Linked DNA regions of Drosophila melanogaster. The protein of the gene in region 3 purifies or fractionates together with the protein of the main gene of each other region. This does not show direct contact. Each region holds a gene or a part of one and is shown on either strand. Other genes may lie near its edges. The genes, in order: Flad1, Hmgs, Ote and CG10214.

What was found.
Region 1: the proteins of Ote (region 3) and Flad1 purify together in Drosophila melanogaster (affinity purification with mass spectrometry, with the first as the bait; one large-scale study listed by BioGRID). This does not show direct contact.
Region 2: the proteins of Ote (region 3) and Hmgs purify together in Drosophila melanogaster (affinity purification with mass spectrometry, with the first as the bait; one large-scale study listed by BioGRID). This does not show direct contact.
Region 4: the proteins of Ote (region 3) and CG10214 purify together in Drosophila melanogaster (affinity purification with mass spectrometry, with the first as the bait; one large-scale study listed by BioGRID). This does not show direct contact.

The regions. Positions count from the first base shown.
Region 1 is NC_004354.4:12,900,547-12,905,542, reverse strand, and holds Flad1 (flavin adenine dinucleotide synthetase 1), read left to right. Parts: upstream 1-2,026; 5' UTR 2,027-2,202; coding exon 2,203-2,214; intron 2,215-2,380; exon of another isoform or gene 2,381-2,465; intron 2,466-2,576; coding exon 2,577-3,227; intron 3,228-3,691; coding exon 3,692-3,997; 3' UTR 3,998-4,190; downstream 4,191-4,996. Other genes in the region: CG4404 (uncharacterized protein), read left to right, coding at 509-1,266; Coq8 (coenzyme Q8), read left to right, coding at 4,588-4,996.
Region 2 is NT_033778.4:16,333,925-16,341,742, reverse strand, and holds Hmgs (HMG coenzyme A synthase), read right to left. Parts: upstream 5,654-7,818; 5' UTR 4,880-5,653; intron 3,442-4,879; exon of another isoform or gene 3,307-3,441; intron 2,629-3,306; exon of another isoform or gene 2,546-2,628; intron 2,304-2,545; exon of another isoform or gene 2,297-2,303; 5' UTR 2,264-2,296; coding exon 866-2,263; 3' UTR 501-865; downstream 1-500. Other genes in the region: CG7997 (uncharacterized protein), read left to right, coding at 1-262, 322-353.
Region 3 is NT_033778.4:18,274,771-18,279,160, forward strand, and holds Ote (otefin), read right to left. Parts: upstream 2,408-4,390; 5' UTR 2,310-2,407; coding exon 1,035-2,309; 3' UTR 837-1,034; downstream 1-836. Other genes in the region: pen-2 (presenilin enhancer), read left to right, coding at 2,851-2,911, 2,981-3,085, 3,160-3,299. UniProt on the Drosophila melanogaster protein: Inner nuclear membrane protein. Involved in the attachment of membrane vesicles to chromatin during nuclear assembly, and is probably required for centrosome maturation and cell cycle progression during mitosis.
Region 4 is NT_033777.3:23,765,492-23,769,013, forward strand, and holds CG10214 (uncharacterized protein), read right to left. Parts: upstream 1,998-3,522; 5' UTR 1,908-1,997; coding exon 1,272-1,907; 3' UTR 1,033-1,271; downstream 1-1,032. Other genes in the region: Lsd-1 (lipid storage droplet-1), read left to right, coding at 21-205, 385-575, 639-816, 883-1,032; CG10375 (uncharacterized protein), read left to right, coding at 2,311-2,379, 2,518-2,838, 2,966-3,340. UniProt on the Drosophila melanogaster protein: 3'-to-5' exoribonuclease specific for small oligoribonucleotides.

The DNA.
Region 1 (4,996 bases), on a different chromosome or scaffold from region 3:
CTCTTCTTCTTCTTCGCCGCCAATTGCGTGCTCATTTCACTGTCCGTGTGCGCGCGCGCCTGTGTGTGTGTGTGTGTGTCTGTGCGTGTGTGTGTCTATGATGCAAGCTTTCGCGAATTGGTGTGCGAAACGAATGCACTTGTTGTTGTTTTCCATTTGCCTGGCTTTGCATTGGTGTAGGTGTGTCACTGTGTCGCGCAGTTTTTGCCTGCAATTTGTTGCTGCTTTTGCGTTTCGCTTTTCGTTTACTGTTGCTGCACTCAGCCAAGGTGCACTGGAAAAAAACCAAGTACTATTCGTACAACTAAATTCCCATAATAAATTCAAAATAAATACAAAATAAAAGTATTTAAACTACAAAATATTCCATGTTACAAACAAGTATAAATCCAAGAATTGAGTTTGATGTGCAAATCAACTCAGTACTGTGGTTACCTTTTGGTGAACAAGTTTCAATTTGTACCGTAGAAATTTGTACTGTAAAAGATGTGTTTTGTTTCTCCTGCAGTTCGCAACTGTCGCGAGCGATGGCGCACCATAAGGAGCAGCTTCCTGCGATCCCTGAAGCTGGCACGCACACAAACGGGACGCGGCAAGCGCAAATACTACCTATCGAAGTATCTTCAGTTTCTCGTTCCGTTCACCAAGTCGCGATCCTGCCACAAGCAGCTGCCGGGCATGGTGCTCCGCAAACCCGGCCAAGCTGCCACTGCTCAGCAGGAAGATGAGGTGGTGGCGGCGGAGGAGGAGGCCAAGGTGAGCGATGGTGAGATGCCGCTGGACGTTCAGGTGTCCGAGGAGGAGCATCGTCGTAATCAGGAACAGGATCGGGAGCAACCCACCGCCTGTTTGCCGCTCCGCCTGCATTCCATCAAAGTGGAGCACGATTCGTCAAATGCGAACCAGCAGCTGGAGCGGATGGTGAGCCAGCAGTCGCTGGTCTCGGTGCCCGCCGCCGCGCTGGGCAATCACCTGGGCTGGTCGGATCTGACGCAGTGGTTCAAGGGACATGGCAGCGGTCATCACAAGTTAACCACAACAACAACAACACCAACATCACCACCACCGCCGCCGCAGCCGGCTACGTCAGCTCTAAGTGTTTTCACTGGCGGACCAGGAGGAGGTGGCTCACAACCGGATGCCGACTACTCCTTTCTGATCAGCCTGCATCCGTACATCAAGGAGATGAACGGCAAGCAGAATCGAAAGTTTCGACAGAAGGTCGTCGGACTCATCGACGATATTCTGGATAACAAGGATGTCTAATTTGTACACGGAAAAAAAACCGAAGATGCTTACGTTTCAGCGATGAAAATTACGATTTGTAAACGGCTCTATCAAAATTACCACACACAAGAGATGCATATTTTGAATGATTGTGCGGAAATATTCTACATACCAAATGCAACATTATTTCAAAACCAACATTTTCACCACTTTCAGATTTCATTCTGGCCATCATATTGCTAACTTTTAGACAATGAACTTAGTTTTTAAATATTTATGTCTAAGTTAAGTGTGAACGTACATGAAATTTATATCGAAGTTTATATGCACTGCATCGAAATTTGTAAAGCGCCCAGTGGAACAGGATGAAATCACCAGTTATGTGATATTTTCTCTCCGTGAAGAAAAAAAGCCACAAGAATCGAAGAAAACACACCCAGTTGATAGAAAACGCCAACAGTGCCCATTTATTAGATGTGTAGAGCGTACTTTAATTACGCTTTTTATTGTTGTTGTTAAGCACACACACAAACACGAATTTGTTATTGTCGAATAAAACATTTAAACTACGAACATTTTATTTTACTTCAGACGGAACAGAAACAAAATTTGCGTATATATGTCGCATTTGCTGGCGATATGCGAAATTGCGGATTAAAATCAAAACGAAACTTTCAAAATTATTTAATGTATAAATTTCTAGCTTTTTTTTTGAATTTCTAGCTAGCCAACCGCCTTAATCGAGTGCAATCGATAGATTCAGCGCACAGCTGATGCACCGATAGTACGCAAAGCTTCCTGGCTTTGTTGTTGTTGTTGTCGCCGTTCGCTTGTTGTTGCACTAAAAAGACGAAAAAAGGAAGGAAAATCACTGGCGCGGAATAACAATTAACAAAATGGAATAATTGCATTGCTGTCGCCGTAACTCATCAGTTAAATGTGCGCCAGTAAACAGTCGATGCAGCAACGAAACACATGAGCTATTGGGTGAGCTATGCGCGTGTGTGCGTGCGCCATGTGTTTGGCCTGCATGCGTGTGTGTGCGTGTGCGTGTGAGGGCCTGAGGTTTTGGCTTTATATCACTTTTTTTTTGTTTTTGCTGACTTTTCCGATACGAAAGTGATGTAATTTTTGGCTGGCCACAAATAAGCCAACTCACTCGCACGTCAACCGCCGAAGCATTTACCACGCTCATCGCACAGTTAAAGTTTGTTTATGGGCCTAGAAAATTACATAAAGTAAATACTTACACACACACACACACACGCAAAAAAAAGATATTTTTCGGCGAAAGTTTTTTTTATGTTTTATTTATTGAGTGCTAATAGTTGCTCTTTTGACTTTAACAGCGTGTGACGTCATCGTTTTTGCTAGCCAGGGCACGGCCACGCCTCCCACAAACATTACGCCCACTGAGCACCATGAACGAATGCCGGAAGAACATCACAAACATCACAAACATTACAGCGAACAACAGCATTCTATGCGCAAAGAGCATTAGCAAAAAGCATTTGTTTCTAGAGAAACGGAGCATGTCGGATCGTTCGGAGAACTCCAAGGATGTGGCAAAGGGACAGGATATATCAAATCCAATGGAACTAACAGCCGAGGATCGACTGGCCATTGAGGAGCGGCAAAATAAAGCGTTCGCCTTCTTCGCCGAAACCCTGCAAATCTACGGCGTCGAGGAGCTAATTTTCTGTTTCAACGGCGGCAAGGATTGCACCGTGCTGCTCGATCTCCTTATGCGTTACCTGCGCCAGGAGAACATCTCCAGCGGCGACATTCCCATGCTGTACATTAAATCCGGCGATTCGTTTCCGGAAATCGATGAGTTCGTCGAGCGTTGCGTACGCAACTACCGCGTCCAGTTGGTTCAGTACGAGGGTACGCTCAAGGAGGCACTCACCCACATGTCGTCGGACATGCCGCGGATCAAGGCCGTCTTCGTGGGCAGCCGCAACACGGATCCCTACTGCCAGCATCTGGCGCCCATGCAGGTGAAGCTGGTTAGGAATATAGCAATCAGGAGATAAATCATATTTAAATGTTTTGCACTGAAATGCTCAGGAGTTCGTAGGTTCAAGTGTGAAGAAAAGTTTCTTTCTCAAGAGTAGTAGATTGATTATAAAGCCAAGTTATCAAAGTCACAGCCTTAGTATCAAAATTATGCCATTGTTAATCTAGAAAAGTATGTGCCCTTTGCCAATATCACAGTGACAGTGGCATTTTCGAATGTCATGATTCCATTCCGCAGATAAGCGAGTTCTGTGGTTCACCACCTAACATAGAATTTATTCGAGTATTTTACAAAACCAAATGTATCCCGCTTATTTGAAAATCTCACAAGATCACAAAGATAATAATGAAGCTAGCTTGAAATAGTTTTGGAAAGTTCGAAACTGCTGTTTCCTATTAGGAAACCCCAAGTGCCTAGTGATGCTAATTTCGATTTTTTTTTTAGCCCACGGACAACGACTGGCCGCCGATGATGCGCCTGAATCCGCTGCTGGAGTGGAGCTACCACGACGTCTGGCACTACATCCACTTGAACTCGGTGCCCTATTGCAGCCTGTACGATCGGGGCTACACCTCGATCGGGAATCGTGCGAACACAGTGCCTAATCCGCACCTCCGACGCACCGATGCCGAGTGTGAATGTGGTTCTAATTCCGATGCCGTCTGCTCCTGCGATCTGGGTGGCTATCGGCCCGCCTGGGAGCTCCAGGATGCCACCATGGAGCGTGCTGGTCGCCTGCCCAGGAAGTAGGATTCCATTTGCGTGGCTATAGTGTAATTGAATAGCTTAAACTCCAGTTAGTCACGAAACTTTATATAGCTGTGTATATATATTAACGTGTGATCTGGATTTCGGTAAACAAACTTAATTTAGTAAAATTTTGTACGACCTAAGGTATGCCGCTGAATAAATGTGGCCTCTGTTAGCAGGCCACTTAAGCAGTATTCCTAGTTTTTATGGAGTATTTAAATTTTTAGTTGTTTAGTTGTTGAATGTTTCTTTCTAATTTTGCATAAAAGCTGAAGCAAGCTAAAAGAGCCAAAGAAACAGCACTGGCTTCAGTGCAAAATCTAGTGCTGCAGCAAGCTGGCTTTTAAAAGCTAGAAAAAGCTCAAGATGCCATGGTGCCACTGTTAAAACGCCAGCATGGCAGCACTAGATGGCCAGTCAGCTGTTTTGCCAGCTGATTTTCGCCGCATTTTCACAACATTACGCGATTCTTTGAACTTTTTTTGCTGTGATATTTTTACGAGATTTACGTAATCCTACGCGCCGATCATCACCAGCGAATCACCCACGCGAGAGCAGTGCACAATAAACCAGTATTTCCTCGCTCCGCGATGTCGCGATCCGCACAAGAAGCTGCGGCGCTGCTGCGGGGACTGCGGATCTTGTTGGAGGCGTGTGGGCGCGAGCATCTCGCCCACGGTCGTCATCTGTGGAGCAATTCAAGCATTCGTGAGCTAATCGCCGAGAATGTGGCGCACACACAGCAGCTGGTGAGAAGTTCCAGTCAAAATCCCACCGAGGAGCTGAAAAAACTGCAGCAAACTGTAAAAGAAACGGGCGAAAGGGGCTACGTGGTGGCCAAAGGTATTTGCTCGCTGCTGGAGACGAAAATCAAGATGTCCCGCGAGGAATCGGCCATCTCTGAGCCTGCACAAGTCTCCTCAATTCGTAAATCCACACCCACGGCACAAAATCCAGCAAGTTGGGACGCCGCCAACTTGGATATATCATCCATAACGC
Region 2 (7,818 bases), 1.9 Mb from region 3:
GGGCGCCGTGTTTTGTCCCGCAACCAAATCGAAGTCTGGAAGCGTCCCATTACGCCAGTAACCAAGAGTGGACATCACTCCTATGCTGTCGCCTTTGTCAGTCGCCGAGATGATGGCGCTCCCTACAGGATCCCCTTCACGGTCAAGGAGCTCGGATTGACGAATCCCAAGGGTTATAATGTGCAGGATCTGTACGATGCCAGCAGCAAGTTGGGCGTCTTCCAGTCTGAGAGTCAGTTCATCACACGCGTCAATCCCAATGGTAAAATCCGTTGCAAAACACTAACTAGCCCTGACTTACTTCATTTTCCCCTCCCCCAGGCGTAACTTTCTACAAGTTTACAGCGTTGTAAGCCCAAGATATGCAAATCAGCCGCTGCCATCAAATCGAATATGCTCTTATATACACACTATTTCCACATTGTCCATTGACGTTGCATCGATGATCTGTGTAATAAGTTAATTCCGACAATAAATACCAGGTAATCACTGAAGAGTTTGACTTTGTTGATTTTTATTGTTTATTAAACAATTGATTGTGTGCATTACACACAGGTATAAGTATTGTACAATTATAGGCATAGATTGCAGTACCGACGCTAGTTAAGACTTGTTCCATGATATAAATAAGGTCTGACTGGATGAAAGAGTTAATTCGCAAGCTTGTATAAATAAGAAGTGTAGTACTATATACGCGACAAGGACCCGAATAAGAGCAAAAAGGATAGCGACCCCTCGGGATCATACCAGTTATAAATAGATACCATCTACAGCTACTGCTTACATGGGTTTGGTCGAGAGAGTTAGAGTTATTGTCAAGTTGTAGGCGAAACCGAAACCAAACCGAAGGAACCATAGCCCGGGGTTAGTGCACCCCATTGCTGATGGTCGGTGTGCGCTCGTAGGTGCGTCTATGCAGCGCATCCACGTCCTTCAGGTAGTAGGTGCCGGGAAACAGTGCGGAGATGCTGCCCGTTGGCGTGTAGGGCGCCGCATGGTTGTTCTTCTCCCGCACCTCCATCAGCGCGGAGAACTGCTCGGGCGCAACCTTCTCCCGTGAATTCAGCAACGGCTGCACGTAGTCCAGCTGCGAGACGAACTTTTCGAAAGCAGCTGCATCCTGGGTCACGCTGATCGAGTACATGGAAGCAGCCAGTCCGGATCCGTAGGAGAACAAACCAATGCGCTTTCCCACCAGCTCCTGGGCTGGTCCGCTAATCAACAGAGACACCAAACCGGAGTACACCGAGGGTGTGTACATATTGCCCACTTGGTTGGCCAGCAGCAGCGATTTCTTGGTCTTGCTGGCAAAGATGTTGGCGGACTGCGTCATGAAGGCCTTCTCCACATCGCGATCAAAGTAGGTGCTCTCCAGGGTAGCGGTATTAAAACGTTCCAGGTCGGGAAACTGCTTCGTTCGCTCCTCCTCACTGCTCAGCAGGAAATCGTTGAAGCTCAGGCGACCCACAGATTTTTGCACCAACTTGCAGAACGGTGTGTGGAATAGGATAGCATCGAAGGTGCTCAGGCTGGCCGGCTGCTTGGAAGTATCCTTCTGCTGCTGGTCGAACTTCTTGCGATACAGCCTGTAGCAGGTGTCCAGAGCAGAAAGGTAGCACTGAATAGAGAGCTTTCCATCTACCGTTGGGTATTCGGAGCTGAGGTCCGGCTTGTAAAAGTCGTAGGCGTGCTCCATGTGCGTTGCGCGTAGTCCACGATCGAGGATAAGCGGCGCATTTGGACCCACCAGCATAGCCACAGCACCCGCACCACCAGTTGGGCGCGCTGCACCCTTGGCGTACACGGCGATATCAGCACAAACGGCCAAAGCCAGGCGGCCGTCCCAGCTAGAAGATTCCACCCAATTGACGGCATTGAAGAGCGCCGCCGTGCCGCCGTAACAGGCGTTCGTGGTGTCGATGCCCTCGATGTCCGTGTTCCCGCTCTCGGCGAACAGCTGCATCAGCACGGACTTCACCGACTTCGACTTGTCCACAATGGTCTCGGTGCCCACCTCCAGTCGTCCGATCTCCGAGTGCTTCACATGTTGCCGCTCCAGCAGGCGGCTCACAACCGTCAGGCAGAGAGAGTTGACATCCTCGCGGTCCGAGCAGAAGCCCATCTTGGCCTGGCCCAGGCCAATTGTGTACTTGCCCGCGGAGGCACCATCGAAGGTCTCCAGCTCCGTTTGGTCCACGTACTGGGAGGGGAAGAGAATCTCGATGGCGCGTATGCCAACGTTCTCGGGCCAGTGGGATGCCATGATTGTATCCGGTTATCTATTTAATCCTGAGCTCTGTAAGAGAGACAATTTGTATACTTTTAGTGGGAGCTTTGGCATGAGAGTAAATATTTAATTCAATATCTTTGTTATTAACAACTATAACAATCACTATTTGCGTTTCGAAATTGCTTCATGATGTTGGGAGCTAAGGCCTTGTTTAATTTAATTTAAGCAGAGTTCTCGATGTGGCCCGAATTCCACTGCCAATTGGCATTGGGAAACTTTCTCCCCGCGCAATCACGGCGTATTTATAATGCTTACAAATTGGACGAGGGCAGAGACAACCTGTTGCACGCTCGAGCTGCGTTGGACGTGTGTAAGCCAGTGACTTTGGCTGCGGCTGAAGAAGTCATCAAAGTCTGCCAGCCAGAGGCCCCCGTCTTGGGGGCCAACTGATTTCCCTGGCTGAGAAACTGAGCGTGTAGAGAGAGAGAGAGAGAGGGAGAGAGAGCCGCCGGAGCGGAGAAAGTTTCCCCCGCTCAGGCGAGCTCCACAAAAGAGAACACTAAACCGCTGTGAAGTAAGCCAAAACACACGCATCGCAATAAATGTAAGCCAACAAGACAAGCCCAAAGAGCCAAAGGGACAGGGGCGTGGATGCTGTGGCTACACGCAGAGAATTTATGATTACATTTATTTACAATAGATAATCATTTCTTTTAAACTTTTTTTGTCAGAGAACAAGCTACAAAAATGATTACTTTAACACAATAACTCTTTTTTCAAAACCGCTTCCCCTGAAACTTCTCTACATTTTCACACATTTTAATTTCAGTTAGGCGCAAATTATAATTAAATCAAAATGATGATCGAAATATTATGATTTCCTATCGAAATAGAATGGAATTTTGCTCGGTGGAGCATTGTGGGACAGGCTGGGAGCGTCTTCACCCATAAGTGGGTCATGCCCACCAAGCACTAAGCACCAACCACCACTCTCCCTCAATCACACGCGTCCATATTGTATAACCGATAAGAGGTGCGAGTGTGGCCCAAACCCGAAAAGCGGTTGACATATTTACCGTTACGTTTAGCACCTGCGACTACTGGCCTATTGACTATAGATTTTCACTTTTCGGCCCGGAACTTTGTGGATTTGTGAAAAAAGGCTGGGTAGCGCGAAGCTCACTCGATCGGATCTCTCCGCGGACTGACGGCACTGGAGGCGCTGCACTGGCATATGAATATGACCATGACGACGGAATTGGCAGTGGAGAAGCAGACACCTAGCCAACGAAGCCACCTAGCCACCGAGCAAACACAGAGGCGAGAATAGGCGCTGTAAGTCAATGCCAATTGCTGAAAGCGCTCGGCGAACAAATAGCGATCGTGCATAATTACGGGAAATATTTATCGCTTAGATACGGCCAGCGAGCACGAAACACAATCGTCGGGGACTAAGAAGCCGCCAGACTATATAGATATGCACATCGATAGTCGTGGCCTTTTGCGATGGGGTAAAGATCAAAGGCTGTCCATCGCTGATAAGGCCGAAACAAAGCGGCTTCCTTAAAAATGCCACCGAATAAGATGTGACACTCTGTCCATTTCAGTGACAAAAACTGGGAAGTGACTTCCAATAGCTTTTCTCCGATTAATTACTTAAGACGTGCCCTTAGGAATTATTAATAGAAAATTATTTATAATTTGAGTTCTACTAATTTTCCTACTGGTATAACTTAAATTGGATTATCATCTTTTCTGAACACTATCTTGAAACGTGATTTCAAATCACCTGAACACAATTGGTAATTGATAAAATATTCTACAGAAATCACTTAAAGTAAGATAATAACAAGACTACTTTAAGTAGTTGTGATATTACTTGAGTCGTACTTAAGTTAATTAATACAGTTTAGTTAAAGTAAGTAAAATTAACAAATAAGAGAATACTTTGTCCTATTGTGCAAAAGAGTATGAATCATTATCCAAAGTCATGAAACTCTAATTTCAAGCAATTTAAGTGATTTAAGTCATTAATTCCTCGAGTGCCTGCGTGGAATACAGCTCACCCGGTGTTCCTAAGCAGCCCGTGGATTTAAGAATGGAAATTGATGCGCTGTTTATGCGGAAAAGGAGTCATCGAAGGGAAGGGAACGGGGCACTGTTGTGGTTTTGTGGGCTTATTTTTAGCACTTCGGAATTGGGAAATATTTGAATAAACATTTCCTGGAACTGCTGCGCACTTGGCTAATTGATTGCTCTTGAGTCATTCTTTTCTTTTTCGGCTGCAGGAGGGTGCGGAGGTGGAGGAGGAGGAGGAGGAGGAGGTCAAAGGTCGGGATGTTCCCGATAGAAATACACGTGTATTTGAGAGCCGGGAGATAAGCATAGTTTAGGGGTCAGGATTATGAAACTGATCTATGAGGTGACACATATCACTGGATGTTGATAATTTTTAAATCTACACTATTACACACGGCTGGAAAAACACTGTGAAACAGCTTTTCCCAATTTACAATAACCAATTCTAATTGCACACATATTATGTTCCTCCGACTTCTGGTTACATCAGCGCCCAAACTGACCACCTGCCACGCCCACAGCCCTCATCCAGCGCAGCACGAACAGTACTCGCACTCGCAATCAACTTACTTGCTAATATTAATGGTCCAGGGCGGGCGATATGTTTTAAACTAAACTAATCTGGAATAAAATTAAGCAATGAAACTGCGGCACCTTAGCCGCAGGCAGTGTTGGAGAGCGCGCGGCGCTGGAACAGCTGCTGGCGGAGTCAGCTGTTTGGCTCGCTGGCTAAGCAACACTGGCGCCATCACGTGAATCTCGTGGGCATTGTGAACTGTCACTTTTTTCGCCAGCGCTTTTCTCACCACACAATTTCGTTCGCATTTGTGGGTGGCGGCGGTCGATTTGCGCTGATTTTTTGGCAAAGAAAAACGCACTTGCTGTTTTCAAATAGCACAAAAAGCACACCTGCTTCGTTTACAATCAACCATATTCGCTGAAAAGTAAGTGCCAACCGTAAGAAATAGTTAATTCGGCGGGTTTTCCACGTCGCCGTGAAAAGTGCAAAAGTTACCCCCCGCCGAAAAAAAAGACCGATTACTACATCGCAGTAGGTCTGCTGACCAGGAAAAGTGCGCAAATCTCTTGTAGATTATTGAAGATAGTGAGAAAATTAGTTTTTGCAATGTGGCTATGATTTTTTGTCGAAGCAGTGTGACCCTGAAAAAAAGAGTTCGCCAGTTTGTTGCGTTTCGTTCGACGGCAGATTGCCGCGAGGTCTGCGGATGTATCTGGAAATATCCAGCTGATGATCGTGTGGGCTGGGGGCGGGGAGTCGGGAAAATGTGCGAAAAGTGTTTTGGTTTTTGTGCTTAAATGAAAAACCCGTGAGCAGCGGAAAATTATCGATCGAAAAACTGTCATGTGACTGTCAACGAACAGCTGACATTGCGAGAGCAACTCACCACAGCGAGTGGTGAAAAGAGCGCAATAGGCGCTTTGAAAATTGAAAGAGAACACAAAATTCTCTTTCGCTCTTTGGGTAAACAAAAAAAGTTGGAAAATGTTGTTTAAAAATTGAAATACTTTTCGGTTATTTTGCCATAAGGCACGTATTTCGCTGATTAATAGATCGTGTTGTGCGAAAACAAGCAAATACACTTTGATGCGCTGCACGAGGATTAATAAATAATCGTATTGCGTGCAACAAGGACCTTGATGAAAACCAAGCACATATTATACATGATATATATACTCTACGAAACTGTAGGCAAAACTCAAACACGGCCAATAAGGCGGAAATTCAAATGGCCAAACAGCTGCTGGAATTCCAGCGCGTGCTTATCTGTATGTCTGTGTGCAAGGTCTCCCGAGCCACCCACTTTCACCAAGCCGGTGCCAGCCACCCACCCACATTCCACCCCCCGGCAAGCACATTATTATTAATTAATTTGGGCGCACACCCACTGCGGCGAGGATATCGTCAAAACTTTGTTTTCCTCCTTTGTTCCATTTTTTATTGTCTTTTGTTTTCGTCGCTGCAATTTCCTGTATTGGATTTGGACTACCCCAACTGGATGTGTATCTAGATTTGGATATGGGTATGGGCTTGGAATCGGGATATGGATTAGGACCTGGACCCCAGGCCCTCTCCATTAGCGCCAGCCGTTGGCCAGTCAGACTGTCTCCATTCGCCTGGCGACGCGTTGGCTGGAGCCCTCCGCTCATCGTCCCTCTGTCCTTTATCCTCGCATTTCCCTTGGACTCGGTCCAATCCACGTCATCAGTTCAACATGAACATGGCAGCATAACAGTCGGTAACTCCTGCTCGTCGTCCTCCCTATCTATCCATATATCTAACTATATCTCTATATGTGCTTCCCTTTTGGCCCGCAGCAACTTGACTTTCGTTGCTAAAAATAAACATACGTACGTAGTTGTGCACTGGAAACAAAACGTGCTAAGTTCTCTGTCATTGCTATTCTGCAAGTCACATTATGGAGTATATCAAGCATATGTTACAGCCTAAACATGAGTGGTTAATTATCATGAGCTACATTCCGCCATTAGATCATTACACACAGCCATTACTAAAATCTGAACTTTTATATCTAGATAAATTAGATAATAACATTCACATATCAATTTCGTATCATTTTACATGTCATGAATCATAATATGGAGATTCAGTTTGAAAAGCATGTGGACGTTTGATTCCGCTGAAAAGGATATATTGAAAAATATATATACTTATACAATAATGTTTATCTGCGATTTGAGCATATATGTAAATATATTTTTAATACATGTACCAAGTGATCTTGCAAAAATGAACTTCTAATTTGACTGATCACCTGGTTATGTCATTCTTAACCTTCATTTAGATGCCAAATTATATTTTATAGCCTCGGGTGATATTTTTTCTTTGCGTGTTTCCGTATCCCACTTACCACCATTCCTCGTTGTCTGTTGCCAGGATTGTTGCTGTTGTCACTCCCGCCCCCTCCAGTTGTTGTCCTTGTTGCTACTCCCGACACTTCCTGGGCGAGGACAATGCACTGCCTTGACTTTTGATGGGGCAGGAGGAGGAAGGCGGATCTGGAGACGGAGCCGGGGAGCTGGGCTGTTGTCACTCCTTGGGCTCATGTTTTGTTTTCGTGTCTCTTTGTGAAGGCCATCATGGTGGTTATGTAATAACAGTGCCGACCATAGGCCGAAATTGGGTAAAGTTAGATTTATATCTCGTGGCGTTTGCTGTGTGATTACTCATACGCCCTGTGGCAGGAGCAAACAGAGTAGTAGCGACGCTAGGAGTCAGCGACACTTGCCCAAATTGAGCACTCGTTTTGGTTTTGGGCCATGGCGCCTTTTTCCTTTCCTGCCTTCCGTGCCCTTCGTGCGGCTTCGTCATCACAACCGGACGGATTCGTGTTCGGCTGACGAACCGGATCGCAGATACTTCGGCCGTTGGCTTTTTCGACTTCCATGGCATCTGGTCGTTAGGCCAGCCGTTCATTCGGCAACGAACCCCCGACATAGAAGCACGTCAGCATGTGGCACAACCGGAG
Region 3 (4,390 bases):
GCAGCCATTGTTGCCTTTTCGAATTGCTGCGACTGTTGCTGCGACTGTTGCAGTTGCTTTGTTGCACTTCGGGACAGTCGTCAAAGTGATCGTGGTTGTCGTCTGCATCGTTGCTGCCATGTAGGTAATTCCTGGAAGTTAATTTCATTAAGAGCAACTAGCAATGCGCGGCGTATTTATTAGCCACACGATATATTGTATGGGCCATGGCTTTGTTTTTCAAGGAATCTGCCGCCTGGCTGTTCCATGCATTTGTGGAATTCATCATCGGCGGCGACTGGCGGTCGTGGCGGCCGTGGCAGCCGTGGCAGCAACATCCCCAGCACAACTGGCATTTCCCCCGAGCCACTGATGTTGCAATTTTCATAACTTATTGCTGGCATGCAAGTCAGACCCGGATCCGGTCGCGCTTGTTACCGCTAAATATGGCGCGAAATTTCCTTAAGAAAATAAAGAAATACGCGCAAGTGCGATTTCCAGTTAATAAAATTAAACAGCCCAACTCGGGCAAGGATTTTAAAATAACGCACACCGGCCGCCGAGCCGACTTGTAAAATTCTTATTAATTCTGATTGCAAGGCATTGCAAGGATCGCAGATCAGATCGCAGCAGGAACAATTTAGCTCAGATAAGAGCTGCGCTTGCCTGGTTGCCATTGCGCCTACATTTGGTCAGAGTCATGCCGACAAGTGTTGTACACGCATTCCAGATACTTTTCCATCATTAGCCGATCGTCGTTTGCTGCTGTTTCTTGATCCAATCTGGGCAAACACCTGCCACAAGTGGAGCGCAGTGAATCGAAAGCCGTTTGGAGAAAAAACATCAGAGCAAGTGTTCAACTGTGGAGATTCCCTGCAAGTGGGCTTTATTTGAACACGGATAACACGCAGCTTAAATGCTAGTCAAACTCAAGCTCAAGTTACATCAAAACAAGATTCATACAAAGACCGCGGCGGCAGTCTTGTTTACAAAACATATCCAACATGGTATACAAACTAGATTACAAATTCGAAATAAGAACAATGATGCGCCGGTCAGTAGAATATGTAATAAACGCCGATTAACAAAAGGACGAGGAGTACAATGAACAGCTTCGACTTGATGTGATACTTCTGCTCCAGGCTGTTCAACCAACGGTTAAAGGCCTCGGATACGCTGTTATCATTCGGGCGCAAGGAGCGCCTGGCACGCGGCTCATAGCCGAGAGAACCGCTACCCGCGTTTCCACTGGCCAGAGTGCGTCTGGAATACGGGCTGATGCGATCTCCAATCCGTTCGGCTCGCAAACGAGCTAGATTCCTGGCAAATGTGCTTTCGTACTGGTCTTCCTTGGAATCAGTGTCGTCGCTCAGCTCGTTAGCATAGGTACGCTTGTAGCTGGATGAGTAGGAGGCCACCGGCGGAGCCTCTGCAGTCACATAGCCTTGGGCTGCAGTACGCACAAAACTGCTATAGCGACCGGGTGCTGGGTTGCTCGCATAGTCATAGGACCTGGTGGAACTGGTGGTCTGCGCTCTGGCAGATGGCACAGATGGCGGCAGCACGGGAGCTGCTGTCGCTTCATAGACCTGTCGGCGTGGAGGCTCCACAACCTTGCTTTTGTACTCGTACGTAGTGGTGCCGCTGCTTGCGAGCTTCGTGGTCTTCTGTCTGGCCGCGTGCTCCTGCTCCACCAGATCTGCAGCCTGGACTAGCTGCTCGTCCTCTTCTTCATCGGACTCTAGGACAATCAGGGAGTTGACCTTAAGATAATTCTCCTCTCGATCAGCGCGCTTCGAGGAAGCCGGTTGCTCAACAATGGTTTCTGGCTTCCTCAAGGGCTCCACTACTTTCCTTTCAGACCCCGAGGAGGTGGAAGTGCGCCGGGTCTGTACGGGTTGAGCAGCAGGAGCAGTTGTTGGCTTCCTGGCGGCAACGGGCTCCTCGGATCGTAGGCGGTCGGCTTCGTCGGGGCGTCGGCGTATAGCTTCCTCGGGTAATCGACGCACTGGTTCCTTGGCCTCTGCAGCGGTAATTGTGCGCCGAGCCTTTGTGGCGGGCGCCACCTTGTTGCCATCCAGCTTGTCCACCGGCGTGGAGGCTGCCGCCGGAGCAGATGGTGCACCAGGTGCGGGAGCCAGGGTCTCCCGCCTGTTGGTCTTCTTGGGACTAGCGGCCGGCGACGCCTGGCCACCAATGGAGGCGCGCAGACGCTTTACTAGAACCTTCCGGCTGCTATCCGTCACGGGGATGTTGGGCAGCCCCTGTGCCAGCATCTTGGCGCGCAACTCAGCATTGGACAGAGAATCAAAATCGTCCACATCGGCCATTGTATGGTTTTTCGCACACTTTTAATAATTCGTTGAAAATTGAAATCGGCGTCGCTTTTACGCGGTGTGTGCTAAAATAGTGATGGCAGCAGTATTACCTATCGATGATTCTGTTTTAGGGGATATACAACACTGAAGTGGGCTTGACTTGTAACAGTTTTGGCGTTTTAAAAAAAGGGAACACAAGGAATGATGTTTCATACTAATCATCGCACACATCGCAAAATCGTGCAAACGTAATAAAACATCTATGCTATATTATTATATCGTTATTTACGTTAGATATTGGCAAATGAAACAGTGATCCAAGAGTCGCAGTTTAGCTCACCTCTGTTTCGATAACTTATCGATATCGATTGCGCTCCAATGGACTAAAAACTAAAACACAAATCAACAAAAGCAAAAATTGAAGTGAAAATATAAGCTATTACAATTTACATATTACATACAATTTACATATAAGTACGAAAAAACTTTCCTGGGCCGGAAACAGATTCGAAAACAAAGGAGCAAACACCCACATATTTGAAGAGGATTAATCATGGACATCTCAAAGGCACCAAATCCGCGAAAACTGGAGCTGTGTCGCAAATACTTCTTTGGTAAGAGTTACTACCAATGAGTAATGATTGGATTTTAACCAAGTTACTTTCTATTTGTCTCGAACTTAGCTGGCTTTGCATTTCTGCCCTTTGTGTGGGCCATTAACGTTTGCTGGTTTTTCACGGAGGCCTTCCATAAGCCACCATTTTCGGAGCAGAGCCAAATAAAGAGATGTAAGTCAATATATGAATAGATGCCCATGCCATACAGTCTAATATTCCACAATTTCTTTCCTACCTTCCTCCAGATGTTATATACTCTGCAGTGGGGACTCTATTCTGGCTGATAGTACTAACTGCCTGGATAATAATATTCCAGACAAATCGCACAGCCTGGGGCGCCACAGCGGACTATATGAGCTTCATCATACCCCTAGGCAGTGCATAGACATAACTAGATTAATTCGTTAGCAACTAATGATATTAAAAAAGACTTCATTCCTAAACAAAATTAACGTTTATTATTAATCCATCAGAAGTTCCCGTATATGACCCAAACAAAAGAAGTGCTGTTTTGATTTAATTACATATTTTTTATTCACATCTAAAGCTGTTTTTGTTTTTTATAATTTTCTGTATACTTTAAATATGTGTACTATATTTTGTTGAAATTTCTTAGCCGCTAGTTATGTGTTTTGTTCATATTCGTCCGCCCATATTTGAATGCTTGATTTAGCTTTAGTTAGCCATTTTGTGGATTACATTCTTTGCTTAGATACAATTTCATTGTTTCGAATTCAATTCAATGCGCTTTATCCATCTCTAAAATACATAATTTGTATAAAACTCTGCTTGTACCGTTGCATAAGCCATTATGGTAATTTGTTAAATCCCATTTAATTGTTTTGTTATGTTGTGTGTTTGTATCCGTGAGTCGAATGCCTCCTACGATTTGATTACAAATTGCATTAAGAATGTCAAAAAACCTAGCGACTCCTAAATGAGTGTAAGGAAAACACTCGCCGATCTACACATGAAGACATAATTCAAATTGCTATTATTCGGTAAATCGCTTGCATTTCGTTTGCGGTTAACAGCAAATGCTGCCAACACATATAGTAAATTACAATATTATGTATTAATGTTTATAACACGAACTTGGTGGCAAAGCACCTAAGCAGGGCCACCAAATCAATCAGTGGAACTAATTTACAATACAAAAGACTCGCTTTAAGGTATATTTACAATCAATACTTGTTTTATTTATAAATTCTAAAGAATCAATGTGTATTTGGGATAGGAAGCGGGATTTTTGAGGGCCAGATGGGAGCTTTCTCATTCAGTTTTTCTTTTTTTTTGGGCTTAGGCTACAGAACATTAAGTGCCATAAATCACGCGTGTAGAGTCTATGAAGCGGCTAGTGAATTACTACACACCCACATTCACATAGATAATCCTTTAATTACATATATATCTCGCCATCGTTATCATATCATATATGCAGCATATGCGTATAAATATTTAAAGTACAAATTGATG
Region 4 (3,522 bases), on a different chromosome or scaffold from region 3:
TCCGAGTATCCGCCTTGCAGGCCCACAGGAGGATGATAACGAGGCCGTGCCGGACGAGAGGGGCGCCATCAAGGCGATCCATCATGGTCAACGCTTCTCCCGCAAACTGAAGCGCCGCCTTACCCAAAGAACCATCGCAGAGGCTCGCGCCCTCAAAAAGCAGAGCAAGGAGGCGATCCACGTGCTCTTCTATGCCGCAGAATTGGTCAGTAAAATTCAGTAACCTATTTGCTTTAATTTTTGAGTATCATTTGGTAAAAAAAAAAACCATAAGATTACAGTAACCAATTCAAATTACTTACGAAATGATTACGCAATGTCTGTTTGTATTCTGGTGTACAACCGTAACCCAAATAACACTTTTAAACGAAACCCATTCCACAGATTGCCACCGATCCCAAGCAGGCCGTTCAAAAGGCCAAGGAACTGTGGGTCTATCTCAGTGCAGATGAACCCGAAAATCAAGCGAGGCCCGCCACTCTGGAGCAGTTGATTGTGCTACTGACCCGCGAATCGGCTAGGCGTGTGGTTCATCTAGTGAACTTCAGTGCTCATGTGGCAGCCAACATACCCAGGTTGGTAGATCCCGCCTCCATCCTTATCTTTCCATGTGAACCCCTTCGAACCAAACCTTACAGAAACCTGGCGCACACGACAACAGAGGTTGCCCACCATATTATCTATATCAACCACCGCATCATCACAATCTCACGGCTGGACAAGGTTAAAACCATCTCCAAAGAGGAAGCTGAATCTCTTTTCAAGCGCATGCTGGCGTTCTATGGTAGCCTTCAGGGCCTGACCAATGCCTACCTGGTAAGAAAGGATGTGATACTAGCAGTCAGACGGAAGATGATTATATATATTAAATATATTCGACAGGAGCGCGTGGCCAGCTTTCTATCCGGACGCATGGAGGCCGAGAAGGTGACGGGCAGCGATGGCGGCAATTCCAACCACCGGTCATCGCGGAGGAGGCAGGATCCGAACCATTATTCAGCCACCCACAATAACATCAACGGCGTCTACTAGCATTGAATTCTTTATTGCTATCGTATTTTTATTTCTGTTTCTCCGTGCATATACGGAAAATACACTAAACGATATTGTACATCTATTTTTAACATAATGCATTTGTCAATAATATAAGCCTAACTTCACGCTTAACAATACAACGCGGACTTTTATCCAAAATTATTATAGACTCATATTGCCAATAAAGCATTAGGTATTGAAAGAATTCCTAGGGTGCTTTAAATTCTTGCTTTAATTTATTTAAATAAGTTCGCTTTGTAATACGCAAGCTCTTTGATGCTTTCTCGGATGTCGTCCAGACTACGATGCGTGAAAGATTTTTTGGGAGCGGAATCCAGAATTGCGGGATGCCATCGCTTGGCCAGTTCCTTGATGGTGGACACATCGACGATGCGGTAATGCAGGTAAGCATCTACCAATGGCATGAATTTCATAATGAATAGTCGGTCGGTGTAGACGGAGTTCCCACCAAGCGGACAGGCGCGCTTTGGTATGTTCTTCTCGAGATAGGATAGCACTAGATTGGAGGCTTCTTCGAGATTCACATCCGAGCTCTTGCATCGATCAATAAGACCTGAATTGTAATGATGTTTCATGCACCACTCGTTCATCGAGTCGTAGACCTCCTGCGGATGGTTGATGGCAAAGCATGGTCCCTCCGACTTCACGTTCAGGTCCTGGTCCGTAATGATGCAGGCCACCTCGAGGATTTTGTCCTTTTCAATGTCCAGCCCGGTCATCTCCAAGTCCATCCACACGATGTCCGTGTCTAAGCCACAGGTGCTGCTCATTCTGTCATTTGAATTGAATGCGATGTGGCTCCGAATTTGGCGGTTCAGGGACAATCCGACGCGTCGAAGGTGAGCAAGCATATATAGCTGTAGCGCAGGTTTCTTTTTGCTAAATGTAAATATGCGGCGGTTTTACCATGTGTTTGATAACATGGTATCGTTACGATAACAACTGGTCACACTACAGGCACATTGCCCAACACTGAAAGGGGGATTCCTGTCATTACAGGAACAAAACAAATCGAATATTATGTTCATACCCAAATAATTGCAGAATAATTTGTTCAGCATTCTTATTTGTATCCACCAAAGTCGAAAGTAATTGTAATTAAAGTTAAAGGTTTTATGCGATAACGACTTGGAGCCATTTTAACTACAGCGAACGGTAATTTCTAACAAACCGCGCACGGTCACTCTGTCGAGTTGATATTTTTATCAAAAATTGTTGTACGGAAAACGCAAAAGGTGTCGTTATTGTTGCAGCATGTCCTCCTCGTCGGCCAGAGACCAACCGGGAACCTCCCATGACAACTTCGAGGAATTCTACACAGAAGTAAGTGTGGCGGACGGAACCGCAGGCTCAGTTTTTATTCTACACTGGGTCGGGCTCCTTGCACGGCAGCCGCTCCAAATAAACTAAACCCTTGTTATTATGTACACTTTAGTAAATGATTTTGTGCCTATATTGCAGGTGAAAGAAATTGAAAAACGTGATTCAGTTTTAACTCCTTCTCAACAAATTGATCGTTTACTTCGTCCAGGTTCAACGTACTTCAATCTCAATCCGTTTGAGGTGCTCCAAATCGAGCCCGAGGTCGAATTGGCGGATATAAAAAAGCGATACCGCACCTTGTCAATCCTCGTCCATCCAGACAAGAATCCCGACAACCAGGAGCGCGCTCAAATGGCATTCGATATTGTGTCGCGTTCCTGGAAAATCCTCGAAAACGAACTCACGCGCAAAAGGTGTCTGGAGGTGTACGAGGAGGCAAAGGGGCGAACGGATCAAATGGTGAGTTCCAGTTCCTCGGAGCATTAAGCTCTATGATCGTCCGGCTTTAGAATAATTGAAAATCCAATTGCAATGGCACATTTTCTTTATTGTACTGTATTATATTAATTTGTTCGTTACCTTTCAGATTGCAGAAAAGCGTAAAAAGCTTAAAAAAGAGGGTCGGCCCACTGAGCCAATACCCGAGGACGATCCCACCAAGTACAAGCACGCCATCTACGTTATGGTCATGAAACTGTTTGCCGACATGGAGCGTCGACGGCAAAAGCTCGACCAACGCGACCAGGAGGAGCGAAAGCGAAAGCGCGAAACGGAAATCGAGGAGGAGGAGCGGATAAAGGCGGACCGCGAATGGCAGCAGAACTTCGAAGAGTCGCGCCAGAGCCGAGTAAACAGCTGGCATGACTTTCAGTCGGGTGCCGGCAAGTCCAAGAAAGCCAAGAAACAAAAACATATGACCGGCATGATGGTTCCACCAAAATTTAAGCCCGAGTCGCGATAATATAGCTTCCCAGCGCGGCGCCGCTCCTTCACTATCGCCAGATCACCTCCGCCAAACCGCGTCGCGTTGCACATGAATATTTTTACATTTTTTTTATAAGTATCCTTTGGAATTGTAATTGACACGTGCATAAAATATAGATGTAAGAAACACATTTCCGTCTTGCCTCTTTCCTTCTACAA